Linked DNA regions of Danio rerio. Each later gene encodes a partner of the first gene's protein in a complex. Links are inferred from orthologs where the notes say so. Each region holds a gene or a part of one and is shown in the gene's direction. Other genes may lie near its edges.

What was found. Proteins that work in one complex are often made in the same cells at the same time.
Region 2: gtf2f1 (region 1) and polr2j share a complex: the UniProt entries of both Homo sapiens proteins name them as parts of the TBP-based Pol II pre-initiation complex. The link is inferred for Danio rerio from reciprocal best matches to the Homo sapiens genes GTF2F1 and POLR2J.
Region 3: gtf2f1 (region 1) and ercc2 share a complex: the UniProt entries of both Homo sapiens proteins name them as parts of the TBP-based Pol II pre-initiation complex. The link is inferred for Danio rerio from reciprocal best matches to the Homo sapiens genes GTF2F1 and ERCC2.

What each region holds. Positions count from the first base shown.
Region 1 is NC_133178.1:32,749,341-32,751,878, reverse strand, and holds the end of gtf2f1 (general transcription factor IIF subunit 1), read left to right. Parts: intron 1-1,261; coding exon 1,262-1,466; 3' UTR 1,467-1,974; downstream 1,975-2,538. Other genes in the region: alkbh7 (alpha-ketoglutarate-dependent dioxygenase alkB homolog 7, mitochondrial), read right to left, coding at 2,276-2,396, 2,528-2,538. UniProt on the Homo sapiens protein: TFIIF is a general transcription initiation factor that binds to RNA polymerase II and helps to recruit it to the initiation complex in collaboration with TFIIB. It promotes transcription elongation.
Region 2 is NC_133180.1:67,353,573-67,358,110, forward strand, and holds the start of polr2j (DNA-directed RNA polymerase II subunit RPB11-a), read left to right. Parts: upstream 1-1,643; 5' UTR 1,644-1,679; coding exon 1,680-1,732; intron 1,733-3,566; coding exon 3,567-3,656; intron 3,657-3,916; coding exon 3,917-4,091; exon of another isoform or gene 4,092-4,538. UniProt on the Homo sapiens protein: Core component of RNA polymerase II (Pol II), a DNA-dependent RNA polymerase which synthesizes mRNA precursors and many functional non-coding RNAs using the four ribonucleoside triphosphates as substrates.
Region 3 is NC_133190.1:26,156,266-26,160,521, reverse strand, and holds the start of ercc2 (general transcription and DNA repair factor IIH helicase subunit XPD), read left to right. Parts: upstream 1-1,361; 5' UTR 1,362-1,548; coding exon 1,549-1,553; intron 1,554-1,688; coding exon 1,689-1,788; intron 1,789-3,413; coding exon 3,414-3,491; intron 3,492-3,683; coding exon 3,684-3,746; intron 3,747-3,864; coding exon 3,865-3,978; intron 3,979-4,068; coding exon 4,069-4,185; intron 4,186-4,256. UniProt on the Homo sapiens protein: ATP-dependent 5'-3' DNA helicase. Component of the general transcription and DNA repair factor IIH (TFIIH) core complex, not absolutely essential for minimal transcription in vitro.

The sequences.
Region 1 (2,538 bases):
CCTTTAGCTTTCAAATGTTTATTCTATCCTTCCATCTCTGAGAATTTTACTTGGTTATACTTGCATTAAGCCATGGAGTGCAGAATTAAAGACTGTGAAGTGGCATGATATATTCAACAAAATCAGAATGAGGTTGTTTCAAGTGTTTGAAACAGCTTGCCAAATGAACTTTCTAGAAAACATCTCTTCGGCTAGCACATTTCAGAGCAGCTTCAGTAAAAACTAAAGTAAACCAGCAACACTAGCTATGTTTCCTTCCAAAAATGTGAATTAACTTTATTCGCACACCTTTTATGCGATATTCTAGTTTTGTGCATAAAGCAAAGTTTCCATCCAACAAGTCAAACAAATCAAAATTGTCACTTCCTAATTAACTGGCGTCAAATATCAAAAGTAAAAGGAACTTAATTTCCTGAGGTATGAGAAGCTGTGTGAATCTTTTACTTAATTAAATAAATGACTTGTGCCTCAGAAGATGATGCTGACACGCAGTTAACGCACAGCACAGACACTCTTAGCAGTTCTGGAGGTAATATAATAACACTAATACTGAATTGGTTAGGGTGTTTCAGACTGACCAAAATAACATTTCATGTTTTACAGTGTGCTAAGCCTGCTGGTTTGTCGACTCACACACATCTTTTATCATCACATAATCAAAATCAATGACTTTTTTTAATGCGCATACTAAAATTTGTTTAGTGAAAGTCTTTATACGCATTTTTTCTTATCGAATAAAAAGTTATTTTTATTTAACTCTTTAACTTCTTATCTTGGCGTTTTTTATTTTTGGCGTTTTTTACGTTTTTTATTTTATGTGCATGTTGGATATGCGTATAAATAAAAAAAAAAAGTGGATGGAAACATAGTTACTGACACATTTATTTCACAGTCAGCACTGTAAAGCTGCTTCCGTTTAACCAATAACTTTTGTAAGGGACTAAATAAATGTGAGCTGATTGGAGGGTCAGAGTTACATTGCTATGACTATATTTACACATCCAATTGCTACTCCCAGCAATGTTGGAAATGTTTTGCTGAGTATATTGCTGAATGGAAAAAGCAAAGAATGAAATACTTAGCTTCAATTATATCAAGTCTTTAACAGTATGTCACTGTGTATTAGACCTACTTAATGTAGCAACACATTACACCAACTTTTTCCTTTCAAATTTTCAAAAGCACTGCCAGAGTTACTGACCATTTTAACTCTTGATTATTTCAATATTGTAAATAAAATCCTTTTCTCTCTCCCCTTTAGTGATGTGCTGCTGACAGAGGATGCGGTGCGCAGGTATCTCATCAGAAAGCCCATGACCACTAAAGACCTGCTGAAGAAGTTCCAGACTAAACGCACAGGCCTCAGCAGCGAGCAGACGGTCAATGTGCTCGCGCAGATCTTAAAGAGGCTCAATCCAGAGAGGAAGAACATCAATGACAAGATGCACTTCTACCTCACTGAGTGAAACTCTGAGCATCCATCACCAGCAGCCTCGCCTTCAGGAATGCAGCTCATTTTGGTGAACACCTTCTTTGTTTTGCTGTCATTTTGCTTTTAACAGTCCAGTGTTTATTTACAGTAGTCATTAAACTGCTGCTCATTGAGTTAAAGCTGAGAATACCGGAGGTCAAGAGTAAAATGACAAAGAAACGTTGCAAAGAAAGATAGCACAGTGAGTTTTTGTATATTGTAGATATGGGAAATGTGTGTTTGTAAATTTCACATTTATGCATCTTAATGAGAAGCTGGTTAATGTTTTTCCAAGAAAGAAATTAAATAAGGACTCAGAAAATGTGAAGATGTGGCTTTTATTACACACTCATTTGTTCTCATAGATTTTTTTTTTAACTGGCTTAACATTGTGCTGATTTTAAAAAAAAAAACTGTAAAAGGTACCACATTTTGCTGGCGCTTGCCCTTCGTAGTATGTTAAATCTGTTCTGAAATAAATACCTATTTGTTTTTATTTGAAATTTGATGCTCTCTATGCAATAATGATTTATTATTTGAGAGGAAAGTTAATAATGGATACAAAAATTGACATTGTACATAGAAGCAGTTGACTGGTCTCATCTTTTTTCATACTCCATTTATATGATAAATTACATGAATCTGATCTATTCCCTTCATAAATTCTCCAGAGGCTTTAGTTCCCCCCAAATAGTCTCTTTTTTGTGGTTATTCAAGGAAAAATACATCAGACTGAAAATTGAATCAACAGAGGTCTATTTGGTTTTCAAGACAGGTGCTATGATCAGTCCAGCCTCAGTTGTTTTACATGGGCAGGTTTCGGCATATCACAGAGATGCGGCGATGACGTGGAACCTTCTGTCCAGAGAAAAAGGACTCTTCATCTTTTAAGATTTCATGGGTGAATTTAAATCGTGCATCATCCCTGTTGATTTAAAGTAGTAGTGTTTTAGAGGTAAAATTACTTCATATTCTATGATAACAGAAATTTTATTTAGTTCTCTTATAACTTGAGAAATTTTGGGGGGTGGGGATAATAAATATGTAAATATTTACCGTAATATATA
Region 2 (4,538 bases), on another chromosome or scaffold:
CTCATACACTACGGACAAATTAGCTTACCCAATTCAACTGTACCGCATGTCTTTGGGCTGTGGGGGAAACCGGAGCACCAGGAGGAAACACACGGAGAACATGCAACACATGCAGAAACGCCAACTGACCCACCTGAGGCTCGAACCAGCTACTTTCTTGCTGTGAGGCGATAGCACTGCCTACTGCGCCACAGCATCGTCTTCACTGTAAAATATAATAATTAGAATATTTGCTTCAAATACATTTATTTAAAAAATTCTATACTTAGATAAAAGGAAATTATATATCCATTAAATAATATCCATTAAATAGTTGTTAAACAGTAAGTTGCATCATTTGGATCTTTGAAAGGCCATTGAAAGAGCAAAGATAATATATCTTGTTTTATTTTTATTTATTTTTTTACATATTTGCGGATATTGCAATGAAAACTGGAAATGTCATTTTAAAAATACTATCTTGTTACCTAAATTACTTCATAGAGGTAATTTGTTCAGTGCAAAATTTCTGATATTTGTTAAGTTGAGGGAGTTTGATAAGTTTCTTTGAGCTATTAGCATGTACAGCGTGTGGCTCAATTTCATTTACATGCAAATATTATGCTAGAAATTCAGTCCTGTTACTTTCAGTCCTGTTACTTATAAGAGTTACAGGAATGAGTAACAATAATGAAAAGCATCTTCTGATACTTAATAGAATGAACAGTTTTTATTATATTATTCATCTGATTTCCACACGTTATGGATGGAAATGTTGAAGTTGTAAGATATTTAAAGGAATAGTTTTCTCAGAAATGACAGTTCCACTACATGACACACACACACACACACACACACACACACACACTCTCTCTCTCTCTTTTCACTTACTGATTTGGTTTTCTTGTGAAAACTTTTTTTCCCTACAATTTACTCAGTTAAGTTCTGTACATCATATACTTAAATGTTAAGTAAATTATGTTATAAAAAACATGAATTTCAGGCCACAGTTTTCTTGAAAAAAGGGAAAGTGCCTTTGCATTCCTATAAAAATACATTTTTTTATGTAAATCGTGATTTTTTAAATACAAAAATCAAATGTTTGAAAGTGTAACAAACCATATTTTAAAAAGAAAATCACTTTCTTAAGAGGAAAACAAAGTAATTACCTGATAGACTTTTATTCATGCTTTTTAAAAGACTCGTTAGTTTGGGTAATATGACTGAAAAATGCATTCATCTGCCACATAATACCTTGTAAAAACTCAAATTAAGTCATTTTATGTGGACCAATACATATTTTGAAAAGTTAAGTATGTGTGTTATTAGATTCCGCCTTGAAAAGTAATTAAAAGAAGTTTAATTGTAAAGAGTTACAATAAGCAAAATGCATCCATTCGGTGGAATGGTCAATAATTACTCCCATGCTAATCACCATACTCAACTTTTACAAGCGATGGTCAAAATTAGATATATAATCCAACCATTTTGACCCAAAGTGTATTAAAAGACTCATAATAAAGGTACCTCTTAACTCTGTCGTTGTGTTGAAAATACTACGACCAGACTACGACACAATACTGCCCCCGGTCGTTATTCACTCAATATTACCCTTTTTCCCATGTCTTCCCATGTCATGCGCATGCGCAGTACAACGTGCGTCCATTAGTAGCATCGTTCGCTGCTGGTTTTGAAGCAGGATGAACGCGCCACCAGCATTCGAGTCTTTTTTGCTGTTTGAGGGAGAAAAGAAGTAAGTGCACTATAAAGCTGTCTTTGCTATTCAATTATACTAACATATTATACTAGCCTATAATAAGAGTAAATATTCAGTTGGAAGACAGGAGGGAGATTCAAAAGGCTTTAGCTTGTTGGCTAACGACAGGTTACGTTAGTCAGTCCATCTGAAAACAAAATACAACCTACTTCTGTTTACAGAGTGCTTTATACAATACAGCTTAAATCATATCGACGATTGATTCATTCACTATTTAAGTTTATTGTTCATTATTTTTGTATAAACGAATACAATTTCAGATGCTAAGCTGTTTGAATAAGACATGTAATACCAACATTTAGCTCAATTAAGTTTAAGTTGGTTAAGTGACCTTGTGAATCTAAATAAAAGTATTCGTTTTTAGACGTACTTTAGGTCATGATACCATGACATTTTTTGAATACCATGTAAATACCATAGTACATGTACAGTAATTGGTCTCAGCATCAAATTAAATAACAGAGGTAATACGTAACGTTAACATATAAAATTTATGCAAATAAGGTGTGCTTTAATGTTTTAAATAACTTTTAACTATAAAAATAAGATTGTCAAAAATATTAGTAAAATAACCTTCCATATAAATATGAATATATTTTTTAAAAAGTAAACCTTTATTGTAATCTACATTGATTAAAATATGCAGTAGTAAGTGCTTAAACTAAATTGTTTTGCCTTGTAAATGCCTCTTTCTGACAGATATGCTTGACAAATTTAAGTAAAATTGGTTTTGTATTCGCACATTTGGACTTTCTCCTTAATATAATTTCAGAAAAGTTTTATTTGCAAATTCTGAATAGAGAAATCATTAGCAGCCAATGACTATCAAAGTACAACATTGTTCAGTCAGGTAAATAGTACTTATGTTTTTGAGAAGTCATATTTGCAGGCTATTTTAGACTGAATATTCAAAGCAGTGTGATAAACAATATATGCACAGTGTTACAAGGTTTCACTGTTCAAAAATTACCAAATGTCTGAATATAAAACCAACTTTACCTCAATGCTTGACAATACTTTTTGGCATAAAAAAATATTTTTGCACTGAATGACATTTAAGTGAGCATCTTCTCTTAATAAGGGTTAAAATTATAGTAGGATAAAAAGATGATAAATATGATGATAAAGCTTATTATATTTTGTATATTTACCTAGAAAAACATTTTTCATCTCTGATCTACTTAACAAAGTGACATATTACTGCCAACATTGTACCATGATACCACAGGGTCTGCGGGGTCTTAAGAACTATTAAAAGTTGATTAATCAATGTAGAGAAATGTAAGGCCCTTAAAAAGTATTTTAAAATCCTAAATGCTATTTTGCAAGGTGTTAAATTTTATATAATTTTGATTGTGCAATGTAGGTATGGTTGTATGCTAAAGTTTGCCTGAATTAAATCTAAATGTCAGGATGCTGTGTAGTTTATGAAATCAATGAAATCCTGCTAGATTTGACATCATGCAGTTTTGTTTACTGCAGTTATCAAGGAAAAACCATTATTTCTGCAGTTCTATAGGCACCAACCTGCTGAATTAGCTATATTTAATAGATTTTAATTCAATATAATTATGTATATCAATATGTAAGTTTTTTACATTAATATTTAATAAATATACTGTAAGTTAAAATCTCTTTATTGTTTCCGATTGAAATCTTAAGTGATAATAAGGTCTTAAGGTCTTGTATGGAGAGAGTCTTAAAGGTATTGAAATTCACTCTCTGGTTCCTGTATATACTCTGTACCAAAACATTACTATTTTTAAAAGTAAGGGATTGCCTAAAATTTCTGTTCAACTTCTTTTTACAGGATCACAATAACCAAAGACACCAAGGTGCCGAATGCATGTCTGTTTACTCTAAATAAAGAGGATCACACACTGGGAAACATCATCCGATCGTAAGAGACCAAACTTTTGATACACTAAAACATTTTCAGATATTTATGTGGGTTTTGTAATCATCCTATATTTACATTAGAGCAATTCCATGCAAATGTCAACCTTGTCATGAAAAAGATTAGGTTTTAACTCTGTGGTTAGTTGTTTTGGAAAATATAAACAGATGTTTCAGTATAATGTTAACACATACTTTCTCTGTGAATGTGTTTTGAGATCTTACTGCAAATGTCACATTTGTAACATTGGAATTGCTCATTAGGCAGTTGCTGAAGGACCCCCAGGTGCTGTTTGCTGGATATAAGGTTCCTCATCCTCTGGAGCATAAGGTTGTGATCCGCGTTCAGACGACACCAGACTACAGTCCTCAGGAAGCCTTCACTAATGCCATCACGGATCTGATCAGTGAGCTGTCCCTGCTGGAGGAGCGATTTAGGGTATGTTCATGTGTTTGCATTGAGTAAAAAATGATTCCAGAACAAGCGCTCCTGAAAAAAATGCACTCTATAGCAGCACTGCAAAAGACAATTGAGGTAAAGTTGGTTTTGTATTCACACATTCAGACGTTCTACTTAATATTATAATTTCAGAAAAGTATTATTTGCAAATTCTAAATAGGGAAATCATATCAGCGTCCAATGGCTTTCAAAATGCAACATTGTTCATGATCAGTTAAATGGTGCTAATGTTGTTTTAAAGGGCACCTATGGTAACAAATCTACTTTTCAAGCTGTTTGGAAAGACGTGTGTAAGTAAAGTGTATACACCGTCATATTGGGGTGATATAAACACACCCAGTGTTTTTTTTTTTTTTTTTTCTTCAATTTAACAACATAAAAACGACAGACCAATTGGAGCAGTTTTTAGAGCGACCGCAACTTGAT
Region 3 (4,256 bases), on another chromosome or scaffold:
TTGAGGTGAATATTGTCAAAGAATGACCCAAAATGGATTTATACAAATATTTTAATATGTCTAAACTGTGGTCTTTACCCGGCCTATGAGTACGAAGGAAATCACTTCATGAAGATGAATCTTTGTTAGGGTGAAATACTGTATATTTTATTGCATTGTAATATATGATTTAAAAATGTTTATGTAAATAAAATATATTATATAAAATATGCCCCTGTATTAATAATGAAAAATGTTCTCATTTCTTTGGTTCTTTCTCTTTTTTCCCCTCATATGTATTAAAAAATGTCATTTTAGAAGGGGGGCTTAGTAGTAGTGGCTCAGTGGTTAGCATTGTCGCCTCACAGCAAGAAGGTCGCTGGTTCGAAGCACAGCTGGGTCAGTTGGCATTTCTGTGTGGAATTTGCATGTTCTTCTCTTGTTCGCGTGGGTTTCCTCCACAGCAAGGTTATTATAGTTTTGGATTTTTTATTGGTTTTAGTTTTTATTTTGTTTTGACTTTTTGTTTTCAAAATCAGTTTTAATTAGTTTTTAGAGGTAGATTTACTAGTTTTTATTAGTTTCCATATTTTATAGTTGCTTAGTTTTGTTTATTTATTTATTTATTTTTGCACATTGGGATATTTGCTATGTACAAGATTCAAAATCAATAAATATTGTACAAAATACAATAAATATTGTAAAATAAAAACTCAACAATAATTTTTTGAAACATGTTTTCACAGGACACATGACCACTATCATCTACCACTACCACCTACTCATCTTCAAATTCAAATACAACAGCCCACAAGATAGCCTTAAGTAAAATCGTGTGCATGGCTGCCTCTAAGGTTAGACACACAGTAGTGATGGGAAGTTCAGATCTTTAATTCATTCCGCTTTAGCAACCTCTGATGAATAAAGGGACTAAGCTGAAGGAAAATGAATGAATGTAAGTTAAGTGTACTCTACTTGCTTTTCTCTTTTCTGTTTGTTTTTATTTTTTTCTTGTTTGTTTACAATGCACTCTAATTGTACCTGCTTTTCGTTTTTCTTAGCTTTTTTCATTCTTTTTTCTTTGTTTATTTAAAATACAGTATAATTTAGTGTAATCTGTGATAGGCTATATTTTTAATTGATCAAATTTTACTTTTCATGAAAAAAATACTGTTGTTTGTTTTAAAAAATCAGTCATATTTGTAGTGAAGAAAATTACAACCTACACAATTTTAGCGAAAGTTTAGTGCGGACTTCTTTTCTATATATATATTTTTTGATTAACCCCAATGGTGACAAATGTACTTCCGTCAAGGGATTGACATGACGTGCGTGTCATCCAATGAGCTGACAGGATAAGGCGGGCTTTGAAGCGAACAACCAATCAATTAAGCAAAATAGATTACGCACTTTCACTGCGACAGCGTTTTACGCTACCGAGATCGCTTGTGTACCTCGATAGAAGTCTTTTTGTGTAATGCGTTCATGACAGTTATATTAATGTGTGGAAACATACAAAACTGAATACGAGAAACACTTAAGTGCTGCAGAGAAACAATACCAGCAAACATGAAGTAAGTAAACGGTAAATTTTAACTGTTAACGTTAGCATTGCTGCAAATCTGCAGACTGGTAATGGCCCAAACCGCTGTTCATTTAACACAAGTTTTGTTTTTCCTCTAACGTTAATGTCTATTTGATCCTATTAGGCTGAATATCGACGGGTTATTAGTCTACTTTCCGTATGACTACATCTATCCCGAACAATACTCGTATATGCTTGAGCTGAAGAGGACGCTGGATGCAAAGGTATTTATACACAGACACTCATACATTAAACTAATGTTGTATCATGTAACAACATAGACCATTTTCAGGGATGTAAACCAAAACAATGGTCTCAATGTATTTCATGTTTTCCATTTGTAATGTCCATACTTTCTGAGATTTTAAAAAGAGCCATATATTGTAAAATAATGTCATGATAGCGGTTTTAACATTAAATTATGATTTAATTGTCTCATGTTACAGTTATGAAATAGTTTGAAACAAGCAGAAAATGTTCATGGGCCAAAGATATCACCACATTGAAGTGATCTATATTAACATTGTGGCTGGATGTTTTGACATAGGCCAAAAGATGCATCTATAGTTGATACACAACTAATTTAAAGTGTATTTTTTGTTCCTTCTTACAGCGTTATTTTTACAATTGAGGTAAAGTTGGTTTTATATTAGCACATTCGTTCAGTGACATGCTCCCTTTATTGTTTACCATGGTAATTTGAATATTCAGAGTGAAATCCTATTAAAGTATGACTTCAAAACAACATTAGCTATATGTTTTTAGGCAGTGAACAATGTTGTACTTTGATAGTCATGGTAATAAGATTTCCCTATTTAGAGTTTGCTAAAATATTTTTCTAAAAATATGATATTAGGGAAAAAGACTGAATGTGTGGGTATAAAACCAACTTTACTGTTTTAATTGAGATAAAGTTGGTTTTATACTCACACATTTGTTCAGTGACATGCTCCCTTTTTGTTTACCATGGTACTTTGAATATTTGGTCTGCAATCCTAGGTAAGTATGACTTCAAAACAACATTAGCAATCTTTTTTTGTATAGTGAAATGTGGTCTTAAGGTTTGCTGGTTTAAGAGTTGGTTCAGGTAAAAAGTGTAATTATAAATGTACTTACAGAATTTAATTACAGATGTAATTACATGCAGATATTTAATCAAGCATAAGTACAATGTAAAATCATATATTTACTCATTAAGTAAAGTGTAACGAATGATTCAATTTCAGTGTAAGTTCATGTTAGTAAAGGCCACTTAATATAAAGTGGGACCGAAAAATTTTCTGAAAATATTTTTAGAGAGAAAGACTGAATGTGTGAATATAAAACCAGCTTTACTCTAATATTTTTATTGAGGTAAAGTTGGTTTTATATTCGCATAATCGTTCCGTGACATCCTCCCTTTATTTTTTACCATGGTACTTTGAATATTTGGTCTAAAATCCTATGTAAGTATGACTTCAAAACAATCTTTTTTGTACAGTGAACAGTGTTGTACTTTAAAAGTCATTGGATGCTATTATGGTTTCCCTATAAATATGAATTTGCAAAGAATATTTTTCTGAAATGTATATTATTAGGGAGAAAGACCAAATGTGTGGATTTATAGGTTATCATGATGCTACTGCCCTAATTTAATTGCCCCTGGTGGGAATAATAAAGTTCACCACATCATTTTTAGTCTGATTATGAATGCATTTTTTGTAATCTCGCATTATCTGAGATGTTGGATGGGATGTTTATGTTAAACAGAGCCATGACTGAGTGAAAGTAAAAAGCAATAAAAAACAAAAAAAAATTGTTTGTCTTATGTATAGTTGTTTCATATTTTGTTTTTATTATGTGTGTAAAGGGTCATGGAGTTCTGGAGATGCCCTCAGGAACAGGAAAAACTATTTCTCTTCTTTCGCTCATCGTTGCTTACCAGAAGGTGACGGATTTTGATCGACGATTAAATATTTGAATACTTTATTAAATGACAGTCTGATGGCTTTAAAAATATCCCTGATTTATATATATAATTATATATATATATATATATATATATATATATATATATATATATATATATATATATATATATATATATATATATATATATATAATGTTTAATCTCTTACAGACTTACCCTTTAGAAGTCACCAAGCTCGTGTACTGCTCTCGCACGGTGCCTGAGATAGAGAAGGTATTTTGTTGACTGACTTGATATAGATGTTTATTACCTTTTATACATTTTTTTTTGCTTTCTAAATACACATGTCGTATGTTAATTTTTATTTTATGCATCTTTCATTTACCTGCAGGTTGTGGAGGAGCTAAGGAAACTGATGGATTATTACTCAAAGCAAACGGGAGTAAAAAACGACTTCCTCGCCCTTGCACTTTCCTCGAGGAAAAACCTGTGCATTCATCCTGAGGTAGAGGCCGCTGAATGGGCAGATTTGTCTGTGATTTCAGTAAAATCTGTGCTGTGATCTTATTAAAAAGTACTGAATGTGTGACTACAGGTGAGCTCTCTGCGTTTTGGAAAAGAAGTAGATGGAAAATGTCACAGTCTGACAGCATCGTATATTCGAGCGCAGCATCAGAGTAACCCAAATCAGCCTGTCTGCCAGTTTTATGAGGTGGGACACATTTCCTAAGCATATACAATCATGGCACAGTTTTTCTTACTTTTTATTTTATTTTTTTCTAG